Linked DNA regions of Notamacropus eugenii. The protein of the gene in region 1 interacts with the protein of each later gene in a pairwise test. Links are inferred from orthologs where the notes say so. Each region holds a gene or a part of one and is shown on either strand. Other genes may lie near its edges.

What was found. The genes of interacting proteins can lie anywhere in the genome.
Region 2: the proteins of CTBP1 (region 1) and small nuclear ribonucleoprotein-associated protein N interact in a two-hybrid assay, tested with the Homo sapiens proteins (2 studies listed by BioGRID and IntAct). The link is inferred for Notamacropus eugenii from reciprocal best matches to the Homo sapiens genes CTBP1 and SNRPN.

What each region holds. Positions count from the first base shown.
Region 1 is NC_092877.1:48,808,556-48,815,833, forward strand, and holds the start of CTBP1 (C-terminal-binding protein 1), read right to left. Parts: upstream 3,038-7,278; 5' UTR 2,995-3,037; exon of another isoform or gene 2,848-2,994; intron 1-2,847. Other genes in the region: E3 ubiquitin-protein transferase MAEA, read left to right, coding at 3,849-3,917. UniProt on the Homo sapiens protein: Corepressor targeting diverse transcription regulators such as GLIS2 or BCL6. Has dehydrogenase activity. Involved in controlling the equilibrium between tubular and stacked structures in the Golgi complex.
Region 2 is NC_092872.1:476,050,686-476,057,877, reverse strand, and holds the start of small nuclear ribonucleoprotein-associated protein N, read right to left. Parts: upstream 3,090-7,192; 5' UTR 2,876-3,089; coding exon 2,873-2,875; intron 1,810-2,872; coding exon 1,658-1,809; intron 1-1,657.

The DNA of each region.
Region 1 (7,278 bases):
AAACTGAGTTATCAGTGTTCAAAACTGCATGAATAAAAATTGTTTTAAACTTTAAAGCAAATGCACAGAAGAGGCAATGGTTTATAGTATAGAATGCTTAAGTAGTTTGTCCAAGAGAACTGCAGAACAGTTAGATTAGAGGTCATAAACTTCTTTCCCCACACTACTCCATCAATCTTTCTAGGAACGAAGAACTAGATTAGTCTTTGATGCTACAAAACTTGGTATTGCTACTGAGACCTCCAAAAGCTATGAGTAAATTGATTCTTTTTTTTTTTTTGATGAAAAATCTTTACTTTGGATGCCTGATTAATATGCAGAGAACCAAACAGTAAGGGTTCCCAGTATTTTACTCTTTAAACTTAAACTTAAAATACTGCCCCCCCAAAAGGGAAAGTTATACTATACCTCCAAATAAAACTAATTCCTTAATGTTAAAAAAAAAAAATTTAAGCTATATGGTCTCTCCAGTACAAAGTTCCCAGAAGTAACAGACCAGAGCTTAACTATTCCATGTCTTAGTTACAATGTGGCGATTAGCCTTAGTGTGGTATAAAGTTATCACTTCAACATCAAAGTGGGGTCTGCTGGTTTTCACTAACTCCTTTTTGATTTAAGCTCTAATTCCTAATAGAAAATTTTAAAAAATATTCTATGAGATCTGTAATCTAGAACTTATTTGTAGAATGCGTTTTCCCAAACCCCTTGATAAATCAAGAAAAGTTTCCGTTAAGTTTCAGATCACTTTCCACCCCACTAGATGCTATTACCTACAACTTCTGTGCAGTATATGCAGACTTAAAAAAAAAAATGTATGAGATGTGTATCTTCTCAAGTTTTAAAGCAATAGCTTATGAAGTTCCCAATTAAGTTGATGATCATTTTCATAAAAAGTGACAAATCAGCTGAAAGAAATTCAAGGCATCTTTAAAACTTGCTTTTCTTTATTTTGTAATCCAATTAATTTTCAATACAGCAGCAGTTTAACAACATAACACTAAATTAAAGAAAATAATTTACCATTTCATACTGGATGCCAACTACCCAAAAAGATAAATTTTGAACCAACCATTAAACAAATATCTTATCTATAAATTAATTTAAAATGCTCAATCCTTTTCTCTTAGTTTTAATAGGAAATCAGACTTCCTAACCTCAGATGAGAAACTCAGGCTAAGAAGCTTTCCATGAAATCATTCCAAGCCAACAATTGTAACCTTAAACCGATGACATGCTTACAATGCACAGACTATATAAATATTTATACATGCTACCAAGAAGGGTAAATCAGTTGACATTCAGCAATTAAAGCTGCCTCTCTGAAGTTGCAATACTTAAAGGTTAAAGATTAGACATGCTCCCTCTTGTGTTAAACTAAGAATGCATGCTGTTTTCTCTGACATGCCAGTGCCACAGCCATCTGTTCCATTAAGTAAACCCTTTAAACTTTGGCTACTCATTCTCCCACCAAATCTTCCAGTTTAAAAGTAAATTAACTTTGCGCCCTGTACTGTGTATACACTGCCTTATTGGGGGACGGGATCAGCAATATCATAGTTATTATTTACCGCATAACACCCAAAATTGCATTGTTCACAATGAAATCCTTAGCGCCAAACATAAACAAAGTGCCAGGAAGATAAGGCTTGCCTTCAGTTCTCATGGATAATAATTCATATACTGAACAAATCCTGTCTCTCAAGTAACAGAAACCTGACCGTTGGGAACCAGAAAAACCTCCCTGGCCGGGTCAGACTTCCAACAATCCTTCCCGAAGGGCTCCCACGAGGCCAAGGATCCCTTTTATAGTCTCCACCAAATGAAGGGGACACGTTTTTGGAGGCGCTGGGGGCACGAAGTGGCGATCAGACAGGGTTTCTGAAGCTTCGAGTTTTGACAGACGGGGGAGGGCAGGAGTTCAGAGGGCATAAAGAGACATTTTGGCGAAGAGAATCAAGAAATGCGCTTAGTGACAACGCGGGGTGGCCGCCGCCTCCAAGACGCGAGCAGGTTGGGGGGTTAACCGCACCGTCGCCGCTCCCCGCCCCCCGTCCTTAGTGCGAAGGGGAGAAGAAGCCTCCGCAGCCGGCTCGGCCGGCGCAGCCCCAGCCCGGGTCAAGTCCCGGAGCGGGGTGGGAGGGGAAGCCACCTCTGGATTCCGGAGGGGGGTCTCCCTCCCCCCGAGGCCCGTCCCGCACCGGCTGCGCCCCCGAGGGGGAAGCGGGAGCAGCGGCTCCGGAGCTGGGCCGGGGGAAGGGAGAGCCCCAGCCCCGGCCGAGCGCTTGGGAAACCCGCCGGCCTGGTTCCCGGGACGGGGAGAGGCAGAGACGCATTCTTATTAAGAACGGGGAGGGGCTGGACGGCCGCAGAGAAGGAAGCCGCTGGGCCCCGAAGTTTTCCGAGAGTTGTCGGGCCACCCCCGGGAGTGCACGAGGACATTCCTAGACGGCCCGGCCCGCCTCCGAGCAGAGATCCCTCCGCCCCTCTCCTGCACGCGGAGGGAGCCCAAGAGCAGCTCGCTCCGCCGACCCAGAGCGCGCCCGGGGTGGGGGTGGGAGAGAAAACGGGAGCGCGCGGCGCGGGAGGGGGCTGGGGGCGGGGCCGAGCAGCGGTTGGGGCGGTTAGAACATTAGGAACGTCTCGGCAGTAGGGCCGCCCACTCCGGAGCCGGGACTGGGGGGCCTGCCCACCCCCGTACCCTCCCACCTTCCTGCGCCCAGATCCCAGGCCCGCCTCCCTTCCTGGGTCCTGGCTGCTCTGCCTTTCCCCCCACCTCGGCGGCTGCCCGCACCCGCGTGGGAGGCACAGAGGAGGGAAAGGAGCAGGGGCAAGGGAAGGGGAACTCACTGGGTTCTGAGGAGGGGGTCTCAGCAGGGTTAACCCTGTTCCCGCCACCAGCGTCGCTGCCTCCTGTGTGTTCAATTCACTCCCCTCCTCGACACCCCCACCCAGCTTCCACACCCCCTTCGCCCCTCCCCCACCCAAGCAACTTACTATCTCCCCGAACACCGCAAAACTCCTCAAACTCCCCACCCCCTCCGGACACGCCCCCTCTCCCTACCCACCCCTGTGCCCCCTTGCTCCCGCCTCCGCCATAGTCCGCTCGTTTGGTTTGCTGAGGAAGCTGTCAATCAAGGAGAGCTTTCTCTCCTTATTGGGTCGAGAGCCTGCCAGTACATTCCAGAAGTTCCTGGTTTCCCACCCCGAAAAGTGGTCCTGCATAGGGGCGTCCCTGATTGGCCCCCATGACCATCTAAGGCTCGGAGGGCGTCTTCAGTAGCCCAAGCAATTTTATACACTCGTTTGTGAAGCTAGAAGCACCTTTCGTCAGGGTCTCCATGTTTAGAATAAAATTTGTCATTGACCGCAGCCCCTAGCCATTAAATATGTGGGAAATGGAAACGTCAATCAGTCTACCTGGCTGGCCCCGCCTATCACGTCAGAGTCAGAAGGAAACTAGGTCCCTGATTGGCCCCTGGGCGACCCCGGGCCAATTGGGAATCATCACTGTAGCCCTGGCGTCTCAAAAACGAAATACGCCTTCCTCCTTTCTTTTCGGTCCAGTAAAAAACGTCTTCATAGCCTACGCTTTCCTATGATTGGAAGAGAATCATGAAAGGAGGGAGTTGATTGGACTATCCCGTCGTCCTTTCACGCATCCCTGCCCAGAGCTGTGCGTTCTTCCGCCACCACAGGCGGTTGGGCGGAAGCGATTGGCTAAAACGCCTGCTCCCTCCCGGTAATGGGTGGAGGCGAGGTGGGAGGGAAAGGAGAGCTGTCTGTTACCCGTCATGCACCGCGCCCCGGAGGTGGCTCCCTTTGGTCTGTAATGTTTTGGCCAATCCAAAATGGCGGTGCAGGAATCAGCTGCTCAGCTTTCCATGACCCTGAAGGTGCAAGAGTATCCAACCCTCAAGGTGGGTGCCGAGGGACCCGCCTAAGGGGAAAAAACGCTCCGCCGCCCCCCTGCAGGAGGAAGACTGGCTAGCCAGGGGCCACACCACGGCGCCACCCGGAGCGGGTGGGGACTCGCCTCCCCCACTGGAGCGGAGGGCGCGGGGTCTGTCCACGCCCCCGGCGGCCCGGGCTGGGGCGGGGACGGCGAGCGCGGGCTCGGGGCCGGGGACCCTCTAGCCAGGGGGGGGGCCGGGAGGATGGCGCCCTGGCTGGGGCGGAGGGTGGGGGGTTGGGGTGGGGTGATGTGGTGGGGGTGACCGCCCAGTCATTGCGGGGAGAGGGGGAGGGGGACCACTGGGGGCTTCCCCGCCCCGTCTGGGAAGGGTTAATGGGGTGAGGGGCACCAGGGGAGGAAATGAATCTGGACGGCCCCCCACCTGCCTCCGGGATGCCCTGTCTTTTTACTTAAAATAATGACCCAGAGGCCCTTGTAGGGGGGAGTACGGGGCTGAGGAGCGAGCGTCCGCGGATCCCGAGCCTTCCTGGGGCTAACACCGCCCAGAGACGTGTAGGATCGCGCATCTCGGGGGTCATCCAGCCCAGCCCCCTCCCTTTTGCAGACAAGGAAACTGAGGTCCGGGGAGGGGAGGGGAGTTACCCACTGAGCAGCATTTGAACCCAAGGCGTAGTGGCTCTTACTTCGATCTTGGAAGGAGCCTTAGAGGTCATCCAGTCCGACTCTTTCATTTTACAGATGGGGAAAGGAGATGGCTATCACACAGGTATTAAATTACTAGGCTGGGATTTGAATCCAGGTCCTTTGACCCCCAATTTAGCTTGCTTTCTTCCACTCACTGTACTTGGCTGCCTCACCCAGTCCTGAGGGAGAATAAATCGTCGGGTTTAGACCTAGAAGGGGCCTTAGAGGTCGTCCAACTCCCTCATTTTACGAAGGAGAAAACTGAGGTTTGGAGAAAGGAAGAGACCCAAGGTTATACTGTAATTAGACCAAGGAATTTTCACCAAATGTTCTGATTTCAAATGTAGGACATTTTAGGTTACACCACAACTGGCTAAGAATGATTTGTGGGAGGTGGGGAAGGAAGTCACTTGGAAAGTAAAGGGAAGATTGTTCTGTTGAGGTTGTGTTTAGAGCCCCAGCTGTTTCCAAGTAAGTATCACATGACAAGGTGATGAGTTCTAGCTGAATTCTTGGGGTAAACTAATGGAAAAAGAATCCTAAAACGGGGGAGGGAGGGACGTCTTTTACAGATTTCATGACTATCCTGTATGCTCCTTGTCACTCATAAGATCATTTATTCTCCTCCAGTTGAAGCATTGTTTAAATCATTCATTCCTTTAAGAAACATTTATTGAATATTATCTGTATAGGACACTATGCTCTGTCCTGGAGGAGATAAAAATTGTAGATAAGACAGTCCCTATTCTCATGTTACAGTTTCTTAGGATTTGATAAGGCACACGCACAGATAATCATATTTCAGTGACATCTAATTTCATCTCCTTTGATAGCAACCCTTCTGTGATTTAGTAGAAAGTCTTCAAGACTTTTAGTGACCAGAAATCTATCACCACGCAGACATTCTGGTGATGAGCTTCTCTATATTATGCTGCCCATCACTAGACCCATAAAGTCTGTCTTATAGATACCTATAAGGTATATAAATATATCTATATTTAGATAGTTCTGTGATTACTTAAGATTTTTTGTTCATGGCATTTAATTTCCCACTTTAGTGCCTTTGTACTGGTAGTCCCCCTATATCTGGAATGCACACTTCTTCGTACCTTTCTTTTAGAATACCCAGTTTCTTCTAAGTGATGACACTTGCTCAGTTGTTAGTGCCTTTTATGTCTTGAAATTATTTTTGCATTACTTTGTATGTACCCTGTATTTGAAAACTTGTACATATTGTATCTACTTTTTTCCAATGGCTTGTCAACTGCTTAAGGGCAGGGACTATTTTTCTTTCCGTTTTTGTATATGCAACACCTAATGAGGTGCCTTATACTAGTGAATCTTTAATAAACATTTGTTGGATGAAAGGGATTTAAAGTTGAAAAGAACTTTAAAGACCATCTTGTGTACCTCCTCATTTTACAGATGGGGAAACTTAAGTTTAGAGGGAAATGATCCTCCCAGGGTAACACAGAGAATGGTTCTCCTTTGAATTCAAGATCAGTTGAACACAAATTAAAGTTGTATGACACTCTCCATTCAATGAATAGCTCTGTGACCTTGTATAAATCACCTACAGTACATACCATTATCATTAACTTCTCTTAATAAGAGGAAACAAATTTATTTCTTAATATATTTGCACCACACATATATAACATACCTTTGATCATTAATAAGTAGAGTGCAGTATCCAAGACCTTTTGGATCCAACTCTTAAAATTTCAAGGTCATGATAACTATTAGAAATATATTTAAATGGCTTTTTGTTTTGAAGATCAGCATAGTGAAGAAAAAAGAACACATCTGGAGTCATCGGATCTAGGTCTAAATTCCCACCCTTCTACTTCCCACCTGTGTGACTTTGAGCAAGCTCTTTCACTGGAGCCTCAATTTCCTCATCTGTAAAATGAAAGGTTTGAACTAGCTGTGCTCTAAAGTCTCTTGCAGCTCTGAATTAACCAATCAGCAGAAGTAATGGATTCAGTTCCTGGCAGGCCACAACTTTGTTGCTTTCCAGAAGAGCAGGCTGCACTCCTTAATCCTGGTGAGCCATTAAGCTAGTTATAAGCACCACCGAATGAGAGTGTTTATGAATTACAGTGACTCTGTCTACCCTTTTGGAAATCATTTAGAGGATTATCTGCATAATGTCAGTATTGGAAAGATAGCACACTCATGGGATTCTAATAAATAACACACATTTGAGTATCTGTGAAGAAGATAGATAAGAAATAGAACCACATCTGTGTTCCACAAACTGTAGGTGAAATGATGCAAATGTGGAAGATTAGTGTCTCTTTTAGGCCAAATTATCATAGGTGATTATCATAGAAAAAGAAAAGAGTGTGCTATGGCTTTACATAGTGACAGATTTGAAATAAGCCAGGAAGAAATATGAAAGGGAGGAAGAACGCTAAATTCTTGATTCTCGATGACTGTTTTTATTTACTGACAATAAAAGGGGTTGAAATCATAGCTTTTCTCAGTTTTTGGCTTAGGAGCACTATCTACACTCGAGTCACTGAATAAAGAAATTGCCATGAAGAAAAAACTTCCCTCTTTTTGTGGCATAATTTAATGGAAAGTAAACAGAAAGGAAATTAGTTTCCCCAAAAGGAGGCACATTGATAGGTATTTGTTACTTAATAATTCAAAACGTGTCATTTGAATCAAAGATC
Region 2 (7,192 bases), on another chromosome or scaffold:
AACACAAGATTTAAGTGTTGGAAGGGACCTTAGAAACCATATTATTTCCTCATTTTATAGAAGAGGAAAATTAGGTCCTGAAAGGACCTAGTCTAAGGTCACATAGCCAGTCACCAGTAGATATAATTTAAAATCCAGCGTTATATAGAGTCAGAGCAGAACTTCAGATAACAAGGATCTTAATAAACACTCAAATTGTACTCCATACCTCTTTTAGCATAAATTACATTCTAAATATTGTATTATAGATGTTTGAATAACTGACATTCCGCCTATTGGGCTATAAGCTCCCTGGGGACAGGATCCAAGTCTTTATTCATCATTATATTTGTTGGAATTCAAAGCACAGTGACTTACACAGAGAACACAGTTAACGTTTATTAAATGTGAAAATCAACTCCCCCTTTAAAAGCCTTATAGTGTAAGAAGCCTTCACCCCAAGATGACCTCATAGAATCACAGCCCTCTGACCGAGAAGCTCACAGAAAAATATATATATTATATAAGATGCTATTTTTGTTGATCTTATAGTACTGAGGCTTCATAAATGTTTGCTAAGTTGAAGTAAATTTACCTCAAAGCATTTCACTCACTAAATAAGAACAACTCATTATGCTTTGGGTAATTTTGCTGAACTGACATTTTTTTCCCGTTTCTTTTTATACTTTGTAACAAACGAAGGTTCCTGGAGGAACGGAAGGGTGAATGACCATATTTGGAAATGAACTTAATGAAAAAAATCAAACAATATATATTAAAAGAAAGACATGAACATATTTCATTCAATGTCATTGTTTGCTGGGAATAAAGATCTGGAACTCAGAAACTACGGGTTTAACAAATAATAAGTAGAAGGGCCCCTTTCTAGATAACTAAGTATTCTCTCCAAAACACACACTTCCTAGGAACCACAGAACCAAAGAGGGCCTGAGTTAGAACAATGAAAAAAGAACATGGATGGAACATTAGAATTACTAGATCAAATTCTATGAGGGGAAGGATTGTGAATGTTAATGTCAGAAAGGACTTTAAAGATCATCTAGTCCAGGCCTGCATAACCTTTGGTCTGACAAAGGATTTCCAGCAGCCGGTGAAAAACGTAGAGAAAAACAACTGTTGTATGTAGAGGAAATCCTTTGGCATGCCTCAAGTTGCCCATGGGCTCTGTCCCAAGGGCTGAAGGTTGTGAAGGCCTGATTTACTCTATTGTCCTCATTTTATAGACAGGGAAACTTGGCCTAGAAATAAATGCCTACAAAAAGTTGCAGTTTATACAGAGCTAGGTGCTCAGAGCTATATGCCTGCAGAAATCTAGCACCTAGATTTCCTGACTCCCTTGCACAGTACCTGGTATATTAAGAACTTAATAAATACTTTATTTAGCTATCATCTATCCCAAGACCAAAGCTCTTCCCACTGTATTGTGCTTCCTTTTATCATTTCCAGGTGATGTGTGCTGGTACACATCTAAGTGTACAATATGTCTGGGCATAAATGTTTCCTCAAAATCCACTAAGGTTGGAGTGCAGTGGGTGGGAGAGGGATGGTGTTCAGGACTAGAACAGAGAAGAGTTTTATGAATGTAAGTATAAGAAGCCTACTTTACCTGCCCTCCCCTCTTCACATCCCAAGCTTCCCAAACCATCCCCCTCCTCACTTGATCTTCCTGAACTCGTCACAGTCACACAGGATCAGGTTCATGTGCTTGTCAAAGGCCTTGAAGGTGCCGATGAAAATGCGGCCATCCTGCAGGATGCACCTCATCCTGTAGTCGATGTGCTGCAGCATCTTGCTGCTCTTGCCCACCGTCTGTGGAAACAGAGAGAGAAAAGTATTGACTCCAGACCCTGGACTGACTAAACACTGCCAGGCGCTCTTTCTACCCCTGTTCCTTTTCCATCAGCTCTCTCTCTTCTCTTCTGAACCAAGATCCGCAGTGCTTCCTCTCCACTGTGAGGTCTTGACCCTTTATCTTTTCCCAAACATCCTAGCCTACACCTCCCCCAATTATATGATTCTGACACCACACAAACACACTCTGGGCTCTTAATCCCTAGGAATGGATCCATCATCTCTGACCCAGTTCTATGATCTTGTCATCCTCCCCACACCCTCCCCCAAACCTCAGACCCCCTTAGTAGTATCCCACATCTCTGGTTTATACCACCTTCTCTCCTCTGACCCCCAGCTGCCTTCTGGCGGGTCAGCCTCCTAAAGGGCGGGTCTGACCACTCCCCGCATGCCCCTCCCCCAGTAAACTCCAGGGGTTCCTTGTTACCTCCAGGATCAAATAAAAAGCCCTCAGACTTTTAAAATTCTTCACCTTAAGCCCCCCCCCCCCGCCCCTGGCCATTTCTCAACAAGACGCCCCATTTCCCTGTTCTGGGCATTTTCGCTGGCCCTTCCTTCATTCCCTCCTGATCTTTTTTTAGTTTTCCTGGCTTTCTTCAAGTCCCTTCTGCAAGGACCTCAGCGCTAGTCCTTCCCCGGTGATCACCTCCCACTTAGCCTGCACAGAGCTCGCACGCACACGGCGGCTCGCTTATGGTCTCCCCCATCACACGGTGAGCTCCTGCGGAGCAGGGTCCGTCTTCTGCCTTTCTTTGTACCTCCAGCGTTTAGCGCCAGACGGAGCACAGAATAAGGACTTCATAAATCTGTGTGGTCTGACTTCACCTCGGCCACTTCAACCACGGAAAACCGGCCAACCCACCCCCCGCCGCCGGCAGGACCCTGACCTCTGACCCCTCCGGTCGCTCGGCCCCGCCTTCGGCAGCGTCCTCACCATCCCCGCGATCCCCGGCCCCGTCCCCGACTCGTCCAGGCCTGTGTCCCAGCCCAGGCCTAGTTTTTCCAGAGATCCCAAGCTTACCATGATGCCGGCTACGAAGTGCCCCGACTTAGAAAAAGGAGCCCCCTTCGGCGGCCGCAAACACGAGGAGCTCCAGAGGAAAGTGCCCGCCCCCTAGCTTCCGGCTGTAACGGAAATTCGAAAAAGACTATAGCCCTTGGAACGGGGAGGACACGTGACCGACCTTGTTTCCCTCAGCCGCCATATTGGGTGAGGGCAGGCGCCCTTTCCCCAGAGCAGAAAGGCTTCTTGGGAACGTTCCAGAACTAGAGGCTTCCCGAAGTGGAGAGCTCTTGTGGGAGCTCTCCAGCAGCGGCCAGCCCCCTGTCTACGAAGGACCGAAGAAGGGAACTCTCTCGTTCCTTTTTCTTGTTTTTTGTATCACCAACTCTTAGAGCAGTGCCTTACCCATAGGAAGCACTTAATAAATGTTTATTGCTGGGTGATATTGATTTTGGAACTGTCACTCTATTGTGAAGATGCCTCCAAGTCTATGTGGTTGCCAGAAATCTATATACGGGATAAATTGGAGAGAATCTCAGAGGGACGGCACTACAAATAAAAGGGAATCAGGAAAGGTTTCCTTGATTATCACTATTATCTTTCACAGAGCTGCCACAATCATCTCAAGGCACAGTTCTGAGCCTGTCTCTTCCCTGACTCCCAAATCTGCAATATTCTCTTATCCCCCCTAATGTTTAATAGAGACTCCTCAACTTTTCATTTAAGGCCCCTCTTAATCTGAGCCCCAATCTTTAAAAAATAGTCTATTTTTAAAAATTAATATTTAGTTTTAACATTTTTAAAATTTTAAATTCTGAATAAGGTCTCTCCTGCCCCTTTCCCAACCACTGAGAAGCCAGATTATGTGATAGCAATTACACATATTAAATAATGTGAAACATATTTCCTTTTAAGCTACTTTTCAAAAAAAGCAAAAAAACCCATAAAATGTTTTAAAAAATTATGCTTCCATCTGTATTCAAATTTCATCAGTTCTCCCTCTGGAGGTCAATATCATTTTTCATCATAAGTCCTTCAGAATTGTTTTGGATCTTTGAGTTCATTGGAATGGCCAAGTCATTCATAGTCAAACAGCATATAGTATTGCTGTTATAGTATTGTGTGTATAATTTTCTTCCAGTTCTGCTAGCTTCACTTTGTACCAGTTCATGTAAATCTTCCCAGGTTTTTCTGAAGGCTTTCTCCTCTTCATTTCTTCTACCACAATAGGATTCCATCACAATCATATACCTCAACTTACGCATTCATTCCCCAATTGATGGGCAACCATCAATTTCCAATTTCTTCACCACCACTAAAATAGCTGCCATAAATATCTGTGTGTATGTGGATATAGATATACATGTAGATATAGATACATAGATATAGATATGTCCTTTTTCTTTTTTCTTTGAGCTCTTTGGGATACAAACTTAGTAGTGATATTTCTGGGTCAAAGGGTATGCACAGTTCTATAGCTCTTTGGATGTAGTTTGATACCAACCTTCCTAACTTTGTTTCACTATATTCTTCCTTCACACATTTTTTTGTGATTGACAGACAGGACTGCTAAGTGTTCTCTGAACTAAACATTCTATCTCTGGCCTAGGGCTCCATATGAACAAGTGGTCCCCAAACACTGAAATGTACTATCTCCATGAGTGCCTCCCATTATATCTATGAAGGTATCCCTTCTACATGGGTGCCCTCTCAAATTCCTACCTACTTTAGGCTCAGCTCAGTTGCCATCTCCTCTGTGAAACCTTCCCTTATGTCCCCAGTTGTCAGTACTCTCTCCTCAATGTAATTGCATTTACTTATCTATGTATGGTAAAGAATATAAGCTCCTGGAGGGCAGAGACTCTTATTTTTGTCCTTCTTTCCACATTGCCTAGCCCAGGGGCTTGACTTAATGTTTAAGAAATGTTTAACTGAATGACTAATCAAGTATTTGTCAGAAATCATATATGTGCCAAAGCACCCAAAAGAAATAAGATATAATCCTTGCATTGGACGTAAAGGCACAAGAAAGCAGTTTAATGCTTGTTATAAAAGTTGTAAATCTGCAAGCTGTTTTTAGGAAAATCATGTCTAACAATTTGCGGTGCTTCAAGTCCCAAGACGAACTGGAGCACTTCACCTTCCTCTCCTCTAAGTTCTAGACCCAGGCTTATGCAGCCCATTTTCAATCCTGAGCAAGCCTAACCAACTAAAAGAAAGGCTGAACTTTTCTTTTCTCATTCTTTCACTCCTTAGGTCCCCACATTGGCACTCCAGGGAAAATTATATATATCTTAGGTTTGGCTCATGTCTTCCAAAGTGTAGAGTAAATAGAAAGGTACCCAATGTACAGTATAAATCAGGGATAAATAGGTATTTTTTTCCTCTGTATGAAAGAAATGCTTAACATACACAAGACTCACAAGCTTACATTGACAGAAAGATTTAAAGTAATATTTGGGATCTATAACTGCTGTTATACTTTCCTAGGAGGTTGAGACTTAAGACCATCAAAATCCAACCGGGCCCTCACTGCAACAAACAAATCTCGTTTTTTGACATTTTGACATTTTATGATTTTATATCTTTTTAATTTATTCACTATCCCACAGCAGCTTTTCCAAACCTTTTCAGCCCTCCTCAAAGCTCCTGTGACTCCTTCTCTCCCCATAGATAAAGTGAGCCAACCTAGCACCCCAAGGGAGAGACAGGAGGTAGAATACGCCAAACAAGTCAAACTACCACTGCCACCTTAATCTATGTCTCCCTTCAGACCTTGACATAGACAGCCCAGAATCCTGAGTCCAAGAGCTTTGCAACTAGCAGTGTTTCCAAGTCATTGCCCATAGCCTGGGAAACAACCTCTATGTAGCCTAGACACAAATACTAAAGACCCAGAAAGAAAAGTCCTTGCTACCAAAGTCCTTGGCAATATCAAATGGTTCAACATCAGAAACAGATAAGATTTTATCAATGGAAATTCCATGAAAGAAGAGGCATTATAATTTGCTTTGCTGTTACACCCTAAGGACCATGGGACCTTTCCATCTGACTTGCCCCTGAAACTTCCCATATGACAGCAGATGTCACAATACTTTGGAATTGTGATCATGGTTATCACTGTGATAATCAAATATTGAGGCAGCTAGGTGGAATCGTGGATTGGAGTCAGGAGACACCTCAGTTCCAATCTAGACTTCCATATTTATTAGTTGTATGATCTCAGGAAAATCTTTTAACCTCCGTCAGCCCCAGTGTCCCCAGCTTCAAAATGGTGATAACCACACCTACCTCCCTTGTTGTAAGGATTAAATGAAATAATATCTGTAAATCTCTTAGTATAGTTCCTAGCACATAGTAAGTATTTAAATGTCTAATTGCTTCCATGATCAGAGTCCTTAAGCTTTTCAAAATAGTTTATCTTTGCAATGTTTTTTATCATTACATAATTTGTTCTTCTGGTTCTGTTCACTTCACTAAATAATAGTAGTTCATACTAGTCTTCCCAGATTTCTGTGAAATCATCTTTTTTAGCATTTCTTACTCTTAATAGTACTCTGCTACATTCAACCCATAATTTGTTTTGCCATTCCCAGTTAATGGCCACTCCTTCAGTATCAAGTTCCTTGCCACCAGAAAAAGAGCTACTATGGGTTTTTTTTAGGTCCTTTTTGATCTTTGGGGTATAGGCCAAATTTTGTTATCATTGAGTCAATAAGTTGAGAAGTTTTGGTAGCATAGTTCCAAATTGCTCACCAGTGGTTTAACCTCTAATTATGAATATAATAGTTTAGAAAAGTCTTTTACAACTAGTGTGGTTGTGCAGAAATATGAAGTGCTACTTGCTAATTAAAGGAATTTATTTAATTAATTATATACTTTGCTTCTATGCCTCATTTGTCTTCTCACTTTGGAAGTTCTCTGGTTTCCTGGGGTCTTCTCACAGAGATTCCCAAACCTATTTGGCCTATGACTCACTTAAAAAAAAAATTACTCATCCCCCCCCATTAGGTTAGATTAACCCTTATTTTTTTCAATGCTCCCCAATTGCACCGGAAGATACTACCACCCCCTGTAAACACCCCCCCCCCCCATCGTTCCAGTGCCCTCTAGAGGATAATATTGCCCACTTTGGGACCTTATGCCAAGAATATCTGTCCACCATGCAGGCCCCATGACCTGCTTCTCCCCTTGATGAGTGCCATCTGGGATCATTGCTTCAAAGATGGCCCAGGATGACCATGCTTTGCTTTTCCATTAGTTTGTAAATTTCTTGATAGTAGAGATTGATTTTTACCCCTTTTTTATATTACTAGATCTTAACACAGTACCTGGCAC